2 linked regions of the Diceros bicornis minor genome follow. The protein of the gene in region 1 purifies or fractionates together with the protein of each later gene. This does not show direct contact. Links are inferred from orthologs where the notes say so. Each region holds a gene or a part of one and is shown on either strand. Other genes may lie near its edges.

What was found.
Region 2: the proteins of DYRK1A (region 1) and TROAP purify together in Homo sapiens (affinity purification with mass spectrometry; 6 studies listed by BioGRID and IntAct, with this or other methods). This does not show direct contact. The link is inferred for Diceros bicornis minor from reciprocal best matches to the Homo sapiens genes DYRK1A and TROAP.

What each region holds. Positions count from the first base shown.
Region 1 is NC_080766.1:37,534,321-37,544,784, reverse strand, and holds the start of DYRK1A (dual specificity tyrosine-phosphorylation-regulated kinase 1A), read right to left. Parts: upstream 4,574-10,464; 5' UTR 4,498-4,573; intron 1-4,497. UniProt on the Homo sapiens protein: Dual-specificity kinase which possesses both serine/threonine and tyrosine kinase activities. Exhibits a substrate preference for proline at position P+1 and arginine at position P-3.
Region 2 is NC_080756.1:20,359,569-20,369,779, reverse strand, and holds the start of TROAP (tastin), read left to right. Parts: upstream 1-5,558; 5' UTR 5,559-5,634; intron 5,635-5,887; 5' UTR 5,888-5,898; coding exon 5,899-6,042; intron 6,043-6,146; coding exon 6,147-6,333; intron 6,334-6,858; coding exon 6,859-7,016; intron 7,017-7,091; coding exon 7,092-7,247; intron 7,248-7,438; coding exon 7,439-7,521; intron 7,522-8,013; coding exon 8,014-8,066; intron 8,067-8,547; coding exon 8,548-8,669; intron 8,670-9,592; coding exon 9,593-9,709; intron 9,710-9,807; coding exon 9,808-9,891; intron 9,892-10,032; coding exon 10,033-10,092; intron 10,093-10,211. UniProt on the Homo sapiens protein: Could be involved with bystin and trophinin in a cell adhesion molecule complex that mediates an initial attachment of the blastocyst to uterine epithelial cells at the time of the embryo implantation.

The DNA of each region.
Region 1 (10,464 bases):
GGCCAGTGAGCGGCAGGACCTGTTGCGATTCCAGATCTGCCTAACTCTGGAGCCTCTGCCTCACACCACTCCACAGGCCAATACTCGCTCCACAGTATCATGCTGCCTCAACTGCTATCTCTAAATAGATATCAAGTAGATTTGGGATAGACATCACCGTTTGAGCTCTTTTTTACCCAAATGCATGTGCTAAGATGCCAACCTTAACCACAAATATCCATAAAACTTAAAAAAAAAAAAAATCAACTCTTGTCATTGCATGTTTTATACATTTAAAAAAATTAGCGGGCTATTTAATGAACAGGGAATGTTATTTAAAATAGAGGTGATACTGAAAACCAGTTTTATTCCATGTTAAACCAGTTCACTAAGCCCCCACACAAAATCGATTTAAACAAGCATTTCAATTATTGGGGAGATAAAACTCAAAACAATTTATCAAGAGTAAACATACATTTTGAGCTATTATGCACTATTTATTAGATATGAGCACGTCCCTCAAACAAAAAACATGTATCTTTCAAAACTTTAACAATAATACAAACTTGTAAAAATCACCTTCTAGAAAAGAGGGTACATAGCTCTGGTAGAAGAATCAATTGCCAAGAAGCAAAAATGGTTCTATATTAGCAAAAAGTATGCCTACGAGGAATCACATCATTTTAGATGTTCAATGTACTGTAAGTTATTATCTCCAATAAGGAACTTTAACTCATTATGCAACTCTGGAAATAGCATTTCAAAGCAAAAGCAAAACTTTTTAAAAACATTTAGCTGGTTTATACAATATTTCCAAATCATTTTGTTTTCATATACTAAAAACTGGAACTAAGGCTGCCTGTAGACACTAGGTTAGGAAACAAGACTTGTCTTTAAGTGCCTAATGTGAACCCTGAATTAATTATCTTAGTCAGGAGATATCAACATTTCACTTTCACATAACCAATGGTAAACTTCACAGCTCTCACTTAACATGATAGCATTGACATAAGCAAGATTTCAAAAGATTTCTTCATTTAAGGGCAAATGAGGAGAAATTTTAGGTAATTTAAAATAGTTTGATGATTTTTTCCAAGTTATTAAACACAAATTTAACCCCCCAAAATTTTTAATGCACAATTGTGCAAGCCTTGGATTATGAGTTACCACAATTTCTCTAGCCATCAAAACATTGCCCAACAGTCAAAATAACATATGGTAAGAAATGTCTTAAAAGGGATAACCACTATGTATACACGTGTATACATAAGTTATAAGTCACGCAATTCACTTTGAAAGGGCAAACTGTGTTAGTATCAAGTTTCAAGTGACCATGTTTGATAGTTGCAAGTACTATCTTTACTTCTAAATAGAAAATATACATGAGTATCTGGAGGTAAAACCACCAAACATTCAACAGCAAGTAGAGAGCCTTAGCTCACAGTTTAAATTACTGATAAGGAATACAACACAACTATAAGACTAATAAAATTTTGGGAGAGAAGAGCCAAGTTCGTTATTAAAACTTTCTGGAAGTTTTTGGGGTTTGCTGGCTTCAGACGGTTAAGGTTTTTCCTTGAGGAATAAAAGAGAAATTGCTTGGGGGTGTGAGTGTGGATCTAAGAAATGTGAAAGTTCTTTAAAATAAAACAAAACCTAATGCTAAAGCAAAGAAAAACTGACACACACCTAATCATAAATACCAAGAAAGTCACAAATGAAGCCATCTCTCCTATTAATCTTATTTTTAATGTCACGTATAAGGCAATTCTCTTCTCACTCATAATTAAGTTACTTCTATCCAAATTTTCTTCCCATAACTAAATTCTCGCCAACCATAAACATGCATGTGAAAACATCCCTGGGCAGTCTAAATTTCTACGCTATTTTTTATTTAAAAAAAAAAAACTTGTTTTCAAGTAGTAGCCAAGATTCAATACAAATTAGCATTTTCTTTTTTTGTAGTTTCAAAATAAAATACACGCCAAAGGTCATTCTATATTATGTGTTATAACAAGTTATCCTGAATTTTGCTTTTGCAGATAAATATTCATAGCACTATAAAAACCTATGTAAACTCCCTAAATACCATTTGGTGCACTTACCACTCCACACCCCCATATCTTTAAGTCACAAACACAGTAACTCTCCATAAATAAAACTAAGGGGCAGACGTCAGATAATATCCTAGAGGAGAAAAAAATTCTAACCAAGGGTCTTTTTCACTATCCACATTCCCAAACCAGACATTGTATTAAAATGGGATATTTTCATTTAATTCGAATGTTAGTGACCCTAAAAGACTGGACTAACTCGTTCATTTTTGAATCCTCAGCACACAGTAATTCTGTATGTTTGTTAAGTTTCTAATAGGTCCCACCAAAATATCTTTAAAATATGTTTAAGAAATGATCTTATACCCCAATTCCGAATTCCTAACAATAACAAAGATCTCACTAGATCACGTAGTCTCTCCCACCCCTACCAATAATGATCATTCATTCATTCAAGCCTGTTTGTTCAAATCTAAAATCTTTTTTAGATTTTAAAGGAGTGTGCCTTCACCTTACAGACACGGGGGTGACCCTACCTTCTAGAATAATTAACTTCTGAGCCTACGTCTCTTATCAACTGTTTATAGTCAGTTTTACAATACAACTTTGTGTAGACATTGACAGGAGTCCTTAACTTTGGCAAAATTTGAAGTTTAGACGAATCTGGACAGCCACCATAAACACCACTATTTCAAGGCAAATCCTCCAAAAACACTGGGGGTACCTGAAGTCTAAGTCATACGTATATTAAACATCTTAACTATAATCAAGTAAACTTTTGTCTTAACTGCTGCTTCTTTGAAACTATCTTCTTCGGTTTAAAATCTTAGCACATGAAATTTTAGTTCTAGTCTCATGTTTATAGTCTATCTGAACATAATATTCTCTCAAAGTAACTAAACCACCAAGATATGAGAAATATAACAAAAAAGCTAAAGGTAATTCCACTGAATTATTAAAATGTCACGAAATGGAAACTATTAAATATACCCATTCTTAAGCACTTTGCATATGTAAAGTATGTAAAGAAGAAATCTAAGTATTCAAAGACAAAAATGACTAATAATAACTTTACGCAAAACTTTCTTATGACTCATCAATACTTAAATGACGCCTATAATTAAAATTAAGTGTGAAGAACAAAACGCACCAAAGAATATTTTTTAATTCCTTCCATTCAAAAACTGTCTCCCTAGTTGGGGGGTGGGGGGGCTGACAAGTTTCATTAAGAGGGCCTCATCTCAATCTTTCCTTTCCACTTCCAAAAACCACAAAGTTAATCCCACGCTAACCACTATACATGGACACAATCTCTAGGTTACAACCCTGAGTCATTACGCACAGATCACTCCAAAATCCGCCAGTATTTATAATGAGTTATAACCTAGTGATTAAGAGGCCAGGCTGACTGCAGACTCCTGGCTCCTGGAGTCCCAGCTGTATGACCTTGGATGAGTCACAGCTCAGTTTTCCCATCTGTACAATGGGTAACAATTCCTACCGGTAGTATGAGCGAGTTAATACACTTGAAGCCCTGAGAACGAGTGCCTGGCATTCTTCGTCCTCATCTCCAAATCGGTGTGAAAACAATGCTATAAGGTGTATTTTCTGACAACTTGGGCGGAATTCAAGAACCAAATGGTGCTGGCATTTAAGTGCCGCACCTAGATTACAAATTTCCTATCATCTAGGGCCGGACGAAAGGCAGAGACAAGTACTTGGAGTCACTCACTCACTAACCGTGCCATTTTTAACTATTGCAGCCTAGGGAGGGGCCTCTCTCTAAGCGAGAGTGGGCTTGTGCCTGTAAAGAGACTCGTCAAGTTTCGTGGCAATATCCAGGTATCCATTATAATTTACGCATTCCCAGCCACCAACTCCTCCGGCTGCTAAAGAGGTCATGCCTCCCTCCCGAGCGGCCGGGCTGCCTCGCACTCGCGGCACAACTTCGGAGCACGCCGAGGGCCCTCGCCCCAGCACACAGCCCAAGGGCCGCGGGGGGACCGGGCTCGCGACCTTCCCCGGCGCCTGGCCCAGCGGCCGGCCCCATTTTCTTAGCCCGTGCATTGTCCTTGCGGAGAACCCCGGCGGTTCCCACACTGGTGGGGACCGAGAGGAGGGACGAGGGAGGAGCTGGGGGAAGAGGATGAGGAGGAAGAGGAGGAGGAGGAGGAAGACAACCTCCTCCCCTCGGCTCGGGCGACCAGTGAAGGTCTGGCGCTCTCTCCGGCCCCCAGGCCCCCGCTCCCACCCTCCGAACTTTCCCTCCGCTTGCACCCGCCTCTCCTCCGGGACCGGGCCCGGCGGGCTCCCTCCCCGGCGGCCGGCCCCGGGCCGCGGCGCCTCCTCCTAAAATGGCAGGTCCCTCCCTCCGCCCGGCCAGCCTCGGCGCGGGCCCGGCTGCAGGCCGCGGGGGGAGCCGAGCGCCGGGCCGGGCGGGGCCGCGGCCGGGCCGGACACTCACCGGGACGATGGCGGGGCGCTCGCGCCGCTCCCTCCGGTGAGTCTCAGCCTCGGGCTCCCGCCGCTGCGCTCCGCCGCGGCCTCCGCAGCCAGCGCCGCCCCGGCCGCCTCTCTCCGCCCCCGGCGCTCCCGGCTCGGCGGCCGCGCCGCAGCCTCCTCAGTCTCTCTCCGGCTCGCGGTTCCAGCGGCGCCCGGGGCCGGGGAGGCGACAGCCCCCTCCCCGGCAAATACCGCAGTCCCCGGACCCCGACTCCCGGCGGCGGGGCCGCGCGGCCCGGCCCGGCGCGGAGGGCGGCGGCGACGAGGCCGGGCGCCGAGTGGCGGCCGCTCCCGGCGGCTTCTTCCCGAGGAGGATTTTGTAAATCTCACAAAATGGCGCGCGCTCCAAACCTGCGCAGCGAGAAGCGCCGGGGCCCGAGCGGCGGCGGCGGCGGCGGCGGCTCCTCCGCCAGGAGAGCCCGAACCGCCCGCCCCCGAGTCCCCGCACAGACAGACAGACACTCACACACACACACACACACACGCACACTCGCCCGCGCACACGCTCACTCACACACACACTCGCACACTCACACCGGTCCCGCCCGCTCGCCGGCGGCGGCAGCGGCACCAACAGCAGCAGCAGGAACAGCAGCAGCAGAAGCGGCGGCGGCGGCGGCGGCGGCGCCCGCACCCCCCGCTCGGGGTGTCCGCTCCCTAAGCCCGACCTGGGCTGCGATCAGCAGCAGCGACGGCAGCAGTCTCCCCGGATCCCCCCGCCGCTCTTGCCGCCGCCACCCCCGCCTCACTCCAATGGGGCTTTTTATTATTATTCGGGCGGGAAGCGAAAGGGTTTAAAAAAAAACCAACCAACAAAATGGCGACGGACCGACCCGGTCGCTATAGCAACTGTCAATCAAAACGCAAAACCCCGGCTGACGTGCTGACGTCCTCCTCCCGCCCCCCCGGCCCCAAGCCGGCGGGCGGGGCCTGTTGCTCGGGCAACGGCAGATTCCGTTCCCTCCTTTCCCTCTCCCTCTGCGTCCCCGACCAACCACCCAACCCCCTCAGGTCACGTGAAGGATAAATTCGGAGCTCGGGCCCGCTACGAGTGTCAGAGGAGGGCGCGTGATTCGCTCGGGGGAGGGGAGAGGAGGGGGCCGGCCGGGCCGAGGGAAGGAAGGCGAAGGGGAAGGGGGGCGAGGCGCCTGCCCGGCCTGTGCGCGAGCGCCCGCGGCCGCCCGGCCGCGCCCCGCCCCGCGCCCGCCGCGCCCGCGCGCGCGCCGACTGCGGCCCGGGGAGCGCGCGCGGCCTCCGCGCCGTCGCCCCCGGAGCCCCGCGCTTCCGCGTTGTGCGCCCGCAGCCCCGCCCGCGCCGGGGGGAGGGGGCCCCGGGCGGCCCACCCCGCGCGCCCGGGCCGGGGGCGCTCACCTTGCTCCCTGGGGAGCGCGCTGGCCGGGGTCAGGCGGCCTGGCTGCGCACGTCCGCGCGTCTGAACTGTTCTTCGAAGGGCTCGCGTGCCCCCCTCGCCGGAAAATGCCCACGGAGGCCGCGGCTGGGGGTGGGGAAGCGGCCGCCTCCGCGTTTCAGACATCTCAGGAATTCCGGACGCTTCGCCCGAATCCGGGATGCCCCTGCGGCTGACACCTTGGCTAAATCATGCCGCTCGGTTTTCGTAGCAACCAATGCCAGCGTTCAGAAATCATGGACGGAGCCATCATGAAAACTTTTTAGGCTGTGCACGCTCTCCCAGGCTCTCCCAGCTATTTCAAACCCTTCCCCACCTTTCTGGGCGCAGCCTGCCTTCTCCATCGGAATGCCCCTGAAATTAATCCTCTTGAGCGGTTACTGTATCCTTGTCCAACTCCCTGTTTTTCTGTTTTTCTTTTTCATGCACCATCTCAGCTTCCAGATTCTTAATTCGCCCATTCTGGCTTTCGTTTATTTGTATTCAGTCTACCCCTTCTGCCTGGCTGAATATTGCTAGGTGTGTTCCCCAGGCATTAAAACCTAGGGATGCTAGTAGCCATGCAGTGCTGGCTACTTTGTAATGAGCGGACAGCCACTGGAAAAATTGTGTTTTGTACCTATGCTAATAAAATGGACTTTAATAAATGTTACGCTAAAAAGGATATATAGAGATATCATTTTACAGCAAGTCACTGATTGATTTCTAACCTTGATTTTGCCATCTTATGATAGTGTTCATATCAATTTTTTCTTTAGCTTGAGCTGTTCACAAATACAGTAGCAACAGATACAATCTTAGGTGTAGAGAAAAACACCACCATAACAAATACAGGTCTCTATCGTATGTTACTCAAGGAAAGACACGGCTTTAAATGATTTCCAACCAATGTTTCCCTCCTACAGTTATTAGAACATTGACATACCAAGGCAACCATTCAGACTAGCACAGGTCTTGAAAGAAATCAGAGTAAATCTAAAGTAAATTATGCAAAAAGTAGACTGGCAAATAGCTTAATTCTGACTGATTCTACGTGGTATCAAAAGTTGCCCTGTCAGAAGTTCTTTTGGATTTCTGCTTCAAAATTGCCCTGCTAAGGTAAAGTCTACATTCAACTTGATTGTTTCGAAGGAGGTGGCCAAGGGTGTCCCTACTGAGGTGAGAGATCTCTACCTTGATTCCTCCCAAGCTCGCTTCCACCTATGCAACCAACTCGTTCCTCCCTCCCGCTTCCCTCCTCCCTGCTCCCCGCCCCCACCCCATTCACCACACTTTCACTTCTATCAGATCAATTAAGGATTTGCAACCTTTAAGACTAAAATAAATTTGAGTCAAATTTTTGGTGGTGATAAGGAAACTGGCATAATTAATCTTCTAGGTAACCTGCAAAGAATATGACAATGTCTCAAGAAATGTACCCTTGTCTTCAGTCAAATCAGTCTAGAAGATTATCAGGGTGAGGCAGAATCTCCAGCTTGTAATCATGAAATAATAGAAGACATTGATCATATCTAGAAGGTTGCCCCCTTCCCTCCCAACTCCAACCCCCCACCCCCAGTGTGACAGCCTTACACAACATTGATCAATGAACTGTCATGTCCAGGTTGGAATGCTGTAAAATAGTTTTATCTAGGCTTCACCTAAAAAGTAACCTGTAAATTACGCTGCTCCAAACAAGTAAACACATGTAGGCAGGAAGGACTCTGGTACAGATGCCAGTTTAGTGTTGACAGGATTCAGTGATTAAATCCTTGCTGTCATCTGAGAATCTCCCTATCAGATCACTGACAGATGTGTTACAGATGTATCTATTGATAGAAGTTAACCTCTAAGAGCAAAGACCTGCCCAACTCACAGATAATAACAGCCTCCGCTTATCCAGTACATTCTAGCAACAGTATATACCCATTATACAGATGAGAAAACAAGTCCTGAGTAATTACTTTCCCAAGGTCACACCACTAGTAAGTGGTGAAGCCAAGATTCAAACCCGAGTGTAATTGCAAAGCCCATATTCTTTCCGCCACACCAAGATGATCTGGGATTATTTGGAAATAGAGTCTTTACAGGGATAATCAAGATGAGGACATTAGAGTGAGCCCTAATCCAATATAATTGGCATTTCCTTTTAAAAAGGAGAAATTTGGACACAGAGACAGACATTCACGCACGGAAGACTGTGAAGACACAGAGAGAACGCCATCTACAAGCCAAGGAACAGCTGAGGCTGCCAGAAGCTGGGAGAGAGGTTTGGAGCAGATTCTCCCTCACAGCCGTCAGAGGGAATCAACCTCACCGACACCTTGATTTTGGACCTCTGGCCTCCAGAACTGGGAGACAATACATTTCTGTTGTTGAAGCCACCTGGTTTGTGGTACTTTGTTATGGCAGCCCTGGCAGACTAACACACAGATCCAAGCCAAGATTCCAAGCCAAGCCAGGTTCTTTTCATTGGTTCCACATCTGTTCATGGCCACTCTTCGTGGTGTGCTATACTAAGCCCAAAAGTTCACTAGTTGGAACCTGGCTGGGAGTTATAACCCAAACATTCCAAGAACTAACCAAACATTCCACCAACCAATATCTCTGCCCTTCACATCAGGTGAGAAGGTGAACAATTTACAATTCATCCCTGGACAGTGACGTGGCTAGAATCTGACACCCTCACTCTTCTTACAGACTTCAGAGTAAAGGTCCTTGATTGCTCCCCTTGTATAAGCTTTATTGTTTGTTCTGGTTTTAATAGTAATTCATGTTTATCAAATTCAAAAGAAACAATAAATTAAAACAAGAGAGGGGCCTTGTTAAAACTGGCAATGGTAGCATGCTATGAATCAAGAAGTTAATACTCAGTTCTCTGCACCTGAGATCCAAAAACAAAATAAAAGTAATTTATGGTCATTACAAACAGTTTTACAATGTGGAAAGCAATAAAGAAGTAAAGATTATTCATAGGTATCACCCAGAGATAAACCTTATTAATATCTTCATATTCACATATATTCTTCTAGACCTTCTTAGACATGAGCACACGCACACACACACACAACACATATAGGTATGTTTTATGCCTTTTTTACTTACAATTGTGTTATGAACACATTTTTGTGTTAATCAACTAAAATTTAGATGATTATTCTAACAGCTACAAGTATTCCATCAGCTGAATGAGCCATAATTCAACTGCTTCTCCATTTTTCAAGGAAGTTTTCCTCTTTTTTTTTTTTGTTATTACAAGTAAAGCTACATAAATATCACATGTACACATTTTACACACCTGTCGTTATTTCCTTAGGATAAGGGCGTGCACCCTTAAAAAGCTTTGATTCATGTTGCCAAAATATCCCTCAGAAATGATTTCACCAATTTACGCTCCTAAAAGTAGTATGCGCAGGGCTGGCCCCATGGCCTAGTGGCTAAGTTTGGCATGCTCTGCTTCAGCAGCCCTAGTTCCGTTCCCAGGCACAGACCTGCACCACTCATCGGTGGCCATGCTGTGGTGGTGACCCACATACAAAATAGAGGAAGATTGGCACAGATGTTAGCTCAGGGTAAATCTTCCTCAGCAAAAAAAAAAAAAAAAAGGAGTATGTGAGAATGACTTTTTCCCACATTCTACCACACTCTCTTGCTTTAGTTTACATTTCTTTGACCATTTAGTGTCTTCTTTTTTTATATATGTTTATTGGGCTATCTGTGCCCTGCATGTGTATATCCCATGCCAATTTGGGGGAGAAGATGGAGAGGTGTCATTTTTTTGTCGATTTCTTTTTTTTCCACCCCCCCCAAAAAAAAAGGAAGAAAGAAAAGAAAATTAAAAGGCCATATGCTGTTGTTAGGCTAGTATGTGATATCAACACCAGACATCCATCACCCCAGTCAGTTTATCTGTGGCGATCTCCATTCCTAGCCATCTCCCAAGTGGATCTAGCCCAGCCTTCTTCCCTGCTCTCAGCCTCTCTTCTCTCAGCCTCCCTACCTCCTCTTAACCAGGCACCTGGACCAGGTGCTCTGCCACCTTTGCAGCATCATAAGGTTGCTTGCAACATTGTTTTATGCCTAGATGTGGTTCTAGTGGTGCCGTTTTTAAAAAGAAGGACAATACTCATTACTTTGCTGTCATGTAAGAATGTTTACCAATATTATTTCGTGAGTTATCGTTAACATTTTCTTTTTCTGTGACATCAAGATAAAGGTTAAATAGAAAATGTGAAATTGTTGGATTAAAGTGTATATTTTTCACATTTCAGAATATCTTAAAACAGTATTTTGCAACACTTTGGCAAGACTTGAAAAGAAATACACTTTAATATATTGATTCATACATATATAATAGCTTCCTCAAAATTAACAGATTGAGGAAAAATGCCCTAATGAAACTGCAAAACACAATTAAGTACATGGAATTAAAAATTAGGTAGGATGCACAGAAATCTACAAAGGTCACTTACTTCAATGGTTCATTAGCTCTACAGTACTTGAGAGTTTTGGCTTATTTTCTTGGCTTTTCAATGTAGGTGT
Region 2 (10,211 bases), on another chromosome or scaffold:
GGATCCAAACCCGGGCCGCCAGTAGTGGAGCGCACGCACTTAACCGCTAAGCCACGGGGCCAGCCCTAAAGTATTTTAAAACAGGTAAATGACATGGTTTTTAAAGGCCTGTCTTGAACTCATGATTTTGTATATATTTAGATATAGAAATCTAGATGTGTGTGTGTTTGTGTGTGCATGTGTGTGTGTGTGTAAAATGTATCCCCTAACTCTGTCCACTGAGAGGGCCTGGGGGCAGCAATATCCTAAAGGCAATGAGCACAGCTAGTGTCCAGCTCTTAGTTTCTAAACAACATTCTCCATTAAAAGGAACCAGACCTCCTTGGAGAAATGGCTGATACTAGAGCGGATGCAGGGAAAGTATAAATTGAACCTGAAACATGTTGCTATGCCAGAAAGAAAAGAAATACTAAAAATGATGAATGCTAAAAGAATACGGTCATGCTGAAAGAATAGAGAAGACAACTTGAAAGGGCGCCCACTGACCACATCAGAGACATCTTGAGTATCAATATCAACCATATTAGTCATTGAATAATACTCTGACTATTACAGGAACTTATGAGTCCATACTGACATAATTAAGTAAATAAAGTGAAGGTTTGATGAGGAACGGAATATTTACATAATCTCAAACTCCCCCTCACATAAAATACTAATTACGAAGAGGGAAGAGTAATTTACAGTGGAGAAACCTGGCAGATACCACTTTAATCAAGTAATGGGACAAATGGAAATGAGCACCACCTGAGAGGATGCAGTAGGAAGAAAACAGCATCCTTTCTGTGACAGTCCTGCCAAAGATGGATACCCTGACTCTAATCATGAGGAAACATCAGACAAACCCAGATTGAGGGACATTCTGCAAATAGCTGGCCTGTAATCCTCAAAAGTGTCAAGGTCATGAAAGTCAAGAATGAAGAACTGTTCCAGATTGAAGGAGACTATAGGGACATGACAACTAAACACAACACATGATTCTGGACTGGATCCTTTTGCTATAAAGGACATTAGTTAGAAAAATGGTGAATCTTGAGTGGTGTCTGGAGGTTAGATGGTAAGAATGTATCAGTGTTCTTTTCCTGATTTTGATGGTTGTATTGTGGTTATGTAGGAGAATGTCCTTGTTAGCATGTAATACACACTAAAGTATCTGCAGGAGATGGGGCAACATATTAGCAACTTACTCTCAACGGTTGTGAAAAAAGTTCTTTGTACTATTCATGAAAATTTTCTGTAAATTTGAGATTGTTTTACAAAACAGGTGAAAAGTTATTCTTTGGAAAAACTTGAGATGGTTTCTCATAAGTCAAGGTTGCCCCTGGCATTGCTACTGTTTAATATAATATTGAAAGTTCTGTACAATGAAGTAAGAGAAAAAAACAACAAAATCAAACAAAACAAAACAAGAATAACAAAAAAAACCAACAAGGTGTAAAAACTTAAAGAGAATATATAAATCTGTTATTATTTGCAGCACACATAATTATCTCTAGAAAACCCAACAGAATCAACAAACTAGGAAAACCAAGAAAAGAGATCATTAAGTTTGCCAGATAGAAAATCAATTATATTCCTCTACAGACCTAAAGGAAACATTTGCAATGTGTCAAGTGGACACGAAGTTAATATGCAGAATATACAGTGAAATCTAATATATCAACAAGAATAAAGACAGGAAAACCGATAGGAAAAAATGCACAAAGGATATAAGTAGGCACTTCAAAGAGAGGGAAGCTCTACTGGCTAACAAGAATATGAAGTAACATTCAAACTCACTAGTAATCAGAGAAAAGTAATTTAAAATAACCCATTAGAATTGCAAAAATTAGAAAGTGGCATAATATCAAGTGTTGGAGAGGAGAGAGGTGATAAGAACTTTCAAGTAACGTTGTTGAGAGTGTAAACAGCCACAGACCTTCCGAAAAATAATCTGGCAGTACTTAGTGAAGTTAAGTATGCATAAGCTTCATGACATCGAAATTCCACTCCTGGGTATATGTCCCAGGGTAATTTTTGAACAGATTCACAAGGGGCCATGTAAGAAGATAATTCTCTAGCATTGTTTGTAGAAGTGGAGAGCGAGTAAACATGATGGATGCCTACGATGGCATCCTATGAATCTGTTATAAGCAATGAACTAGATTGTATATAGCAATAAGGATGGATCCCAGAAACAGAATTGACTGAAAAAAGTAAAAACAGAATCATAGGGCAATGCCATTTATGTACATTAGAAACACATACACCCGGGGCTGGCCCAGTGGCATAGTGGTTAAGTTCACGCACTCCACTTCAGTGGCCCGGGGTTTGCAGGTTCAAATCCCAGGTGCGGACTGATGTACCGCTCATCAAGCCATGCTGTGGCAGTGTCCCACATACAAAATGGAGGAAGATGGGCACAGGTGTTAGCTCAGGGCCAATCTTCCTCAGCAAAAATAGGAGGATTGGCAACAGATGTTAGCTTAGGGCCAGTCTTCCTAACCAAAAAGAAACAAAAAACAAAAAAAATACACTAAACAACCTGTAGTTGGTTGAATAATGCCTCCCCAAAGACGTTCACGCCTTAATACCCTGAATCTGTGAATGTTACCTTATATGGCAAAAGGGACTTTGCAGATGTGGTTAAGGACCTTGAGAAGGGGAGATTATCCTGGATTATATGGGTAGAACTGATGTAATCACAGGGTTTTTATAAGAGGGAGGCAGGAGATCAGAGTGAGTAGTAGATGTGATGACAGATGCCAAAGGTTTGAGTGATGGAAGAAGGGGCTACAAGCTAAGAAATGCTGGCAGCTTCTAGAAGCTGGAAAAGGCAAGCAAACAGACTCTCCCCTGAAGCCTCCAGAAGGAATGGAGCCATACCAACACCTTGATTTCAGACTTCTGACCTCCAGACCTATATGAAAATAACTTTGTATTCTTTTAAGCCACTAAATTTCTGGCAATTTGTTACAGCAGCAATAGGAAACTAATACACAACCCTACATATTTTACAAGCATACATGCATGGTTAAGAACATATATCAAGCACATTAGAGTGACGTATATCGGGGAGAGGAATAGGAGAGCAGACAGAGAACGAAGGAGGGGGTGATAGAATAAAACAAGAGAGGTGGCTTGCACATTGATGAAAACATTATGTTATAACCTGAGGAGGAGGATTAACTGAAATCTCCATTCACAAGGTCCAGCAAAGACAAGCAGAAGGAAGTCACTCTGACCGCTGTGTAGAAAACAGATTAGATGCCCTGATAGGAGTGACAGATATTCTGAACACTGGCTCTTTTAAAGACTTTTCTGATATAAAATCAGTCTCCCTGGTACCTTGATTCTGTGAAGGCGGTACCCTGAGGAGCAGGCATAAATATTTTGGTCATTGAGAGGTATATCACTCATGGTAAATCACTCAGTTTCTCTTACGAATTTGCTTAGTGTGAGTCAGTCCCAAAATCTACTCTGGGTAGCCTGGCAAACTCAAGCTTCTAGCTTCACAATGCTGAGGACTTGACCTGCACTGTGCTGCCTACCTTAACATCACATGAAGCCACTGTGCAGCCAGCCTCCTTCCTGGTGCCTCCCCATCCTTCAACCTTCAGCCTTATTCCTCTCTGTGTCCCAAATGCTTAACAAAGGGCCTTACACACAGTAGGTGCACAAGGCTTATTAGTAGCCATCCCTGCTGATCTAGTGGTTAGGGTCCAGCACATTCACAGTAACTGTTAGTGGAACGAGGTGACTTTCCCTTTCTCTTAACTGAGACCTCCTTTCTAGTTTTATTTCCTACTATTTCCTATGTTCCATCTACGCCCAAGGACTCACTATTCTCTCAACACTCCATATTCTTTCATTTCTTTTGCCTTCACAAGTACTATTTCTAGTGACTAGAATAGTCTTCTCTTTTTTTAAGAGGAAGTTCAAATATTACTTCTTGGAGATCTTCCATGACTCTCCATGCATTCATTTGATTAATTATTCATCCATCCATTGACTCATTCAACAAATATTGAGAACCTTTACAAGCTAGGCATAATGCAAGCCATTGAAAATATGATGGTAAGCCAAAAATAAAAGGTCACCACCCTCATGGAGGTCTAGCAGGGGAGATACAGTTTAATAAACATATTATGTTCACATTGATGAACATACAATTACCAACTGAGATACATGCTCTGAGGAAACAAACACTGTTCTTTAAGAGCACATAACAAAGGAATCTTTTTTAGATTAGAGTGGGTTGTGAGTAGAGGGCTTCAAGAGAGCCCTCTCTAAGGAAGTAACAGTGAATATCAATTTGGAGGCATGAATAGGCAAAGTGGAAGCAAAAAAGACATTCCAGACACAGAGACTAGAAGGAACATGACAAATTTGAGGAATGGAAAGAGGCAATGGAGTTGGAAAGCAGAGAACAAGAGGGAGAGTGGTACAAGATGGGGAGTTTGAGTGGGGAGAGGTCAAGGCACAGCGGTAACATGACGAGATCTGCATTTGGGGAAGATTACTCTAGCTGCTATATGGTGAATGGATTCATGTGGAGAGCAAGCGAGAATGGAGGTTGGGAGCCTCTTGCAATCCTCTACGTGAGATTAGGGTAGATTAGGGTGGTGGCAACAAAGAGGAAGACAGTAGATGAATTCCAAAGATAATTAAAAGGTAAAATTAGTAAGAATGAATAAGAGATTGGAAGAGCAGGGAAAGAATAACTCCTAGGTTCCTGGCTTGTGTAACAGGAACCACTGTAGTCAGGGGTAACATCTACCAGAGTCCTGCCAACTTGAAACCATCGCCCATTTCCCGTCTTCCATTAGGGGTTACCCCTATCCATTCTAACCAGTGTTCTAGGTTCCCTCAGTTTCACACCCCTGTCTGCCAATAACAGGCAGGTGAGAGCCCTCTCCTTCTGTGTGTTGAATGAGTTCCAACAACACTGAGTCTTGTTTCTTATCTGTGAAATACAGAGAGACCACACGTTACCGGGTTGTGAGACTCAACTGAGAAAACGACTGTTTCTTTCAATTTTTGTTATTGTTACGCTCAGTTCAATTCCCTCCGGCCCTCTCCACCCGTTTGGAGGCAGTTCCTCGTCCCAGGCATAACGTGTTTCCTATAAGTGTCTGGAATGACTTCCCCGAAGCTGGACGCCGCACTCTGCTTAGAGCGAGGTCAGGGGCTCGGGGCTGCCTCCAACACCCTTAACCGCAATCCGGACACCCACCCCTTCCCACAACGCCGCGAGAACGGTCCTTCCCTCATCAATCCCGAGACCTCGCGAGAGTACGACAGCGCCCGTTGTCGCCCGGACTCAGAGGGCCTCGCCTTCCCAGCCTCAGAACGGCCTCCTCCTTCCTCTTTCCCCGCCTTCCACTCCGCGCTCCGCTCTCGGATTGGCTGATTGAACCGGGTCAGTAATTTCCTGGCCAGAAAGCGGTTCGAAAACTAGTCCTTCTTTTGGCCCCGCCTCCGAAGCCTGCGGATTGGACGGCTGAGTCAGGTGTCAGCGCCTCCGCGGGAGTGTGGACGAGCCAATCAGGAGCTTGGCGTATTTTACAAACTGGGGAAGTAGCTGCAGCAGAAGCCGAGAGAGTCAGGGAAAAAGCGAAGGAAGTGGGGCGACCCTGAGGGGTTCCGGTGAAGGTGAGGCACGAGGATCTTGAAGGGAATGAGGGTTGTGGAGGCTCATAGGGAGGAGAGGCACCTCGGGGTCCTGGGGCGAAAGAGTAGGCTCAGGGTGTCTGGAGGTGGCTCCCAGAAGAGCGGCCTTGCAGGCACCGGGGTCTTCTGGGCGCATGCATCTGGGCGGAGGTGGGAGTATCAGGGATGTCGGGACCAATGTCGGGACTAACTGGCTGACTTTTGATCCCTGATCCTGCCTTCTTCTCCGTCTCAGTCGGAGCCATCATGACTACCCTCCAAGCCAGGAAGGATCCTCTCCCCCGGGGTGTATCTCCCACCCCTAGCAAGATTCCCGTACGCTCTCAGAGACGCCCGCCTCTCCCCACAGTCAAGTCCTGCGCCGTGGACCAGGAGAACCAAGATCCAAGGGTAAGAAGGGCCTGGTGGGTGAAGACGGTAGCTACAAGGAGGCAGTACACGCCAGCAATACACCCCAACGCTGAGCCCCAGCTTTTTGTCCTCCTCTTCCCCAGAGATTGGTGCAGAAGCTCAATGTTCAACGCCCCCTCGTTGACTCAGCAGGCCCCAGGCTGAAAGCCACACATCAAACAGAGAAATCAGAGAGATTGGTGGGGAGCACTCAGCTCCGGAACCCCTTAGAGGAGCTCAGACCTAGCCCTGGGGGACATAATGTGGAGCCTGGGCCCCCTCCCCAGACAGGTACCTGTTGGAGGCTTGAAAACTCGCTATCTCCTTGGCTGGGTGGGAGAATGGGATGGGCACAGTGGGGTTTTGGGGCTTTGAACTCCTCCCATTTCCTGCTTACTATAAGAGTCCAGGTCGCTGCTCGTGGAAAGCTCTTTGCTCTTAGAAGCCCTCTCCTTCCTTAGCAGAATGTCATCTTTTTTAAAGCCTTTTCCAGCTCCCCCAGTCACAATCAATTGCTCTGTGTTCTAATACTTTGCAGTACTTCGTTTGTAACATGTCCATCCTTTGGCTTGAGTCTGTTACCTCTCTATGGTTTGATGATAAGTTAGTGAGAATGGAGGCTTTGTCTTATTCATCTCTGGGCCCTGTGCCTAGAAGAATGTCTTGTGTAAAGTCCTGTGAACACTTGGTGAGCTGAGGTCAATTGAATGGGTTTCTTTGGCTCACTCTTGCACCTCAAGGTGACTACACTAGGGTCCCTGACACTTCAGCCTTCCCCCTTCCTGTTCCTTCTCACCTTTCCTTCTTCCCTTGCAGAGGCTCCAGGGGCCACAGAGTTTGTGGCTGACCCTGAGGCCCTGGCCACCATCCTGTCAGGTGAGGGGGTGAAGAGCTGTTACCTGGGGCGCCAGCCCAGTCTGGCTCAGAGAGTACTGGTTCGAGGGAGCCAGGGAGGCACCATCCGGAGGGGCCAGGTAATGAGACAGGAAGGATGTGAGGAGATCAGGCTGGGGTGGACTGAGAAGAGAATCTTGAGCCTGTGCTGATAGCCTCTTTTGGGGTCCCAGGGTGCCCGGGCCTCTGCATATTTGGCCCCCAAAACTCCCACCCACCGACTGGACCCTGCCAGGGCTTCCTGCTTCTCGAGGCTGGAGGGACCAGGACCACGCTGCCGGACCTTGTACCCCCAGAGGCTAGAGGCTCTGGTAGGTGCCCTGGAGGGGCTGAACTCAGTGCTTCTGGGAGCTTCTTCCAGGGACAGAGCTGGGCCCTGGGAAAGAAGATACCTTTTGACGAGCCAGAGGGGTTCTGTAGAGGCAGATGGGATTGGTGGTGAGTCCAGAAGGTTTGGGGCCCACCTCTGACTCTGCTTTTATCTCTTGCTCCTGTGGGTCAGATCCCACCTTCAGGACCTTCCTTTTACCCCTCCGCTCGCCCCAGTTTGCAGGAGCTAAGAAGAGAGACAAGTGGAAGCATCCGGTGAGAAGGCGAGGGTCATTTGGAAAAGGATGATCCAATGTCGGATACAGGGGTCCCTCAGAGCTGGGGCCTTCCAGTAGCTTTAGGACTTCCCAAGGGGAAGGGGGAACCTGTGATTGCCCAGGGTGAGCTGTTGGAATAGGGTTCAGGCCTTCATAGCCAGGCCTCAGTATGACATCAGTTTCTTCAGGTTGTAGAGGGAGGAAGGGGACAGAAATGAGAGGTGCTATCTTTTGTTTAGTGGCTAAAGCATAGACTGTAGCAATAAATGGGAATTGGGTTTGATTCCTGACTCTTACCACTTGCTAGTTATGCAAGCTTGCCTTAACCTCCGACCTTCAGTTTCCTTAATCTGCCAAATGAAGATAATGTCTGTATTGTCATTAGAGGCTGTTGTGAGAATTAAATAAGATGATGTTTGTAAAGCACTTAGCACAGTGCCCAGATCACACTTGGTACTCTGTGACTGCTAGTTGTTCTTATTATCATCAGGACTTCAGTGAGCCAGGCCTCAGGATTGCTCCTGGAGACCCCAGTCCAGCCTGGTGAGTGTGTCTGCCCGTGGGGAGAGAACAGGGGCAGGTGGGCTGTCTGCAGCAGGGAGCAAGACAAGGGAAATTTCAGCAGGCTGGAGGAAAGGGGGGAAGGCCAGATCAGAAGGAGCCAGAGAGGAAGAGACCTTCTTGATAGGCCAGAGGTTGGCTCAGTTGCACTTGTGTCAAATGAGGTGGTCCCTATTTCTACCCTCTCCCTGCCACTGCCTGCAAGATTCACGTTCCACTCACTGCTCTATCCTCAGCCCCTAAGAGCCATTGCCACACCCCTAGCCCACTCAGAGTATTCAGATTTATAAGTGATTACTGAGACGGTGCTGGGCTCCAAGGGGATGCTGGATGGGTCGCCGCCCCTGATGGTGCAATGAGGGCTGTCAAACTGGCATACCCTTTTCAGAGGAGGTTGCAATGCCCTGTGCCAGACTTGGGTGGGTGTTCCAGACACTCTAGCAAATTTTCTGTCTCCTCCTAGCTTCCTCTTTCCCTGAAGGAGAACATGAAGTTGTCACTCACTCAGATGAAGGAGGAGGGGGTCCCCTCGGTCTGGCCCAGCGGGTACCATTAAGAGAAACCCGAGAGATAACCTACACCAGGGTGAGATGGAACCCTCCTGGGATGGGGGAAGGGGGAGGGGAGATGCTTGGGGGAATTCCCCAGCAGCTGCCAGCTCTGAGGATTGTGGGTGGAGCCAGGCAGTTCTTGACCCTGGGTTTGCCCCAGATGGGCCCAAGCCCTTTCCAGAGTGGGACTAGCCTTAGTTTGCCAGGTGTCTTGGGCCTGGGGGTAAGAGGTCACAGTCCTGCATGTATTTGTATAACCATACAGTGCTGAGAGTGGACGGATCTGACACTTGTGAGCCAAAAGCATTGATTCATTCATTCACCCCACAAGTATTTATTGACCAACTGTGCACCAAGCACTGTTCTAGGTTCTGGATATACAGTAGTAAATAAGTTCACATTCTAGAAGGAGAAGACATAAAATAAACTCATATGTAAAATACATATTATGTCAGATGGTGATAAGTTCTTTGTAAAAAAAAATAAGGCCCTGAAGGGGTAGTGGAAGTGGGGGGGGGTGCTATTGCAATTTCAAATAGATTATTAGTCAGGCGGATCTCATTGAGAAAAAGACCAGAAGGAGTTGAGGGAATGAGCCATGCAGATATCTGGGGGAGGAACGTTCCCAGCCAAGAGAACTGCAGGTGCAAAGGCTCTGAGGAGGGAATGTGCCTAGGGTGTTTAAGGATCAGCAAAAAGGAGACTCCAGCGAGGCTGAAGCAGAGTAAGGAGAGCCACAGGGAGTGAGGTTAGAGTGATGACAGGATCAGACTGGGTAAGGACTTATAAACCAGTGTAAGACCTTGGCTTTTACTTGCGATGAGTGGAAAGCCATGGGGAGGGGGATGACATGATCTGATTAGGTCTTAAAAGAATCACCCTGGCTGCTGTGGTGAGAACAAGACATAGGAAGGCAAAGCAGGAGGGGCTCACTCTTCCTCTTCTTCCTCTCTGCAGGACAGCCGTGACTCCCACCTGATGCCGTCCCCTGGCCGTGTGGCGCCACCTTCCATCGCCCGTCCATCACCCTTTGGACGGGCTCAGCGTGTCCCCTCTCCTGGCCTCTCAGCTCCGGTTTGTGTCCACAGCTCCTGGGGGCTGGGCAAGGGCTGGCCGGGATCCCTGCTAGGTCTGGGTTTTGTTTCTGCTCAGCCACCCCTATCTCTTCCTAGACCTCGTATTCAGTGTTGCGGCGTCTCGCCATTCGCCCCAAAGTCCAGTACACACCCATCTCATCGGCCCCCAGAGTTCAGCGGGTAAGAGAGGGCAGGGGAGGTAGCTGGCAGAGGCCAGGGCTGGGAGAGGAAGGGAATGGATGGGTACAGGGAGAGTTAAGGGGCAAGGGGAGACTGGGCCCTATCTGCGGGTGCCTTGCTGACATCACCCTTCTGTCCCAGGCCCAGTGGTTGAGTGGCCTGTCCCCTCAGTCTTGCCCTGAAGAGCCTGCCCTGCCCTGGGTAAGTATCAGAAGCCTTCCCATGCTGAGATCCCTCACTCGGTCCTGTTGGCCTGAGGCCCAGCAGTTTGAGGCAGGTGGGCTCTCTGAAAACGCTACCTAACCTGCAACTCTTCCTGC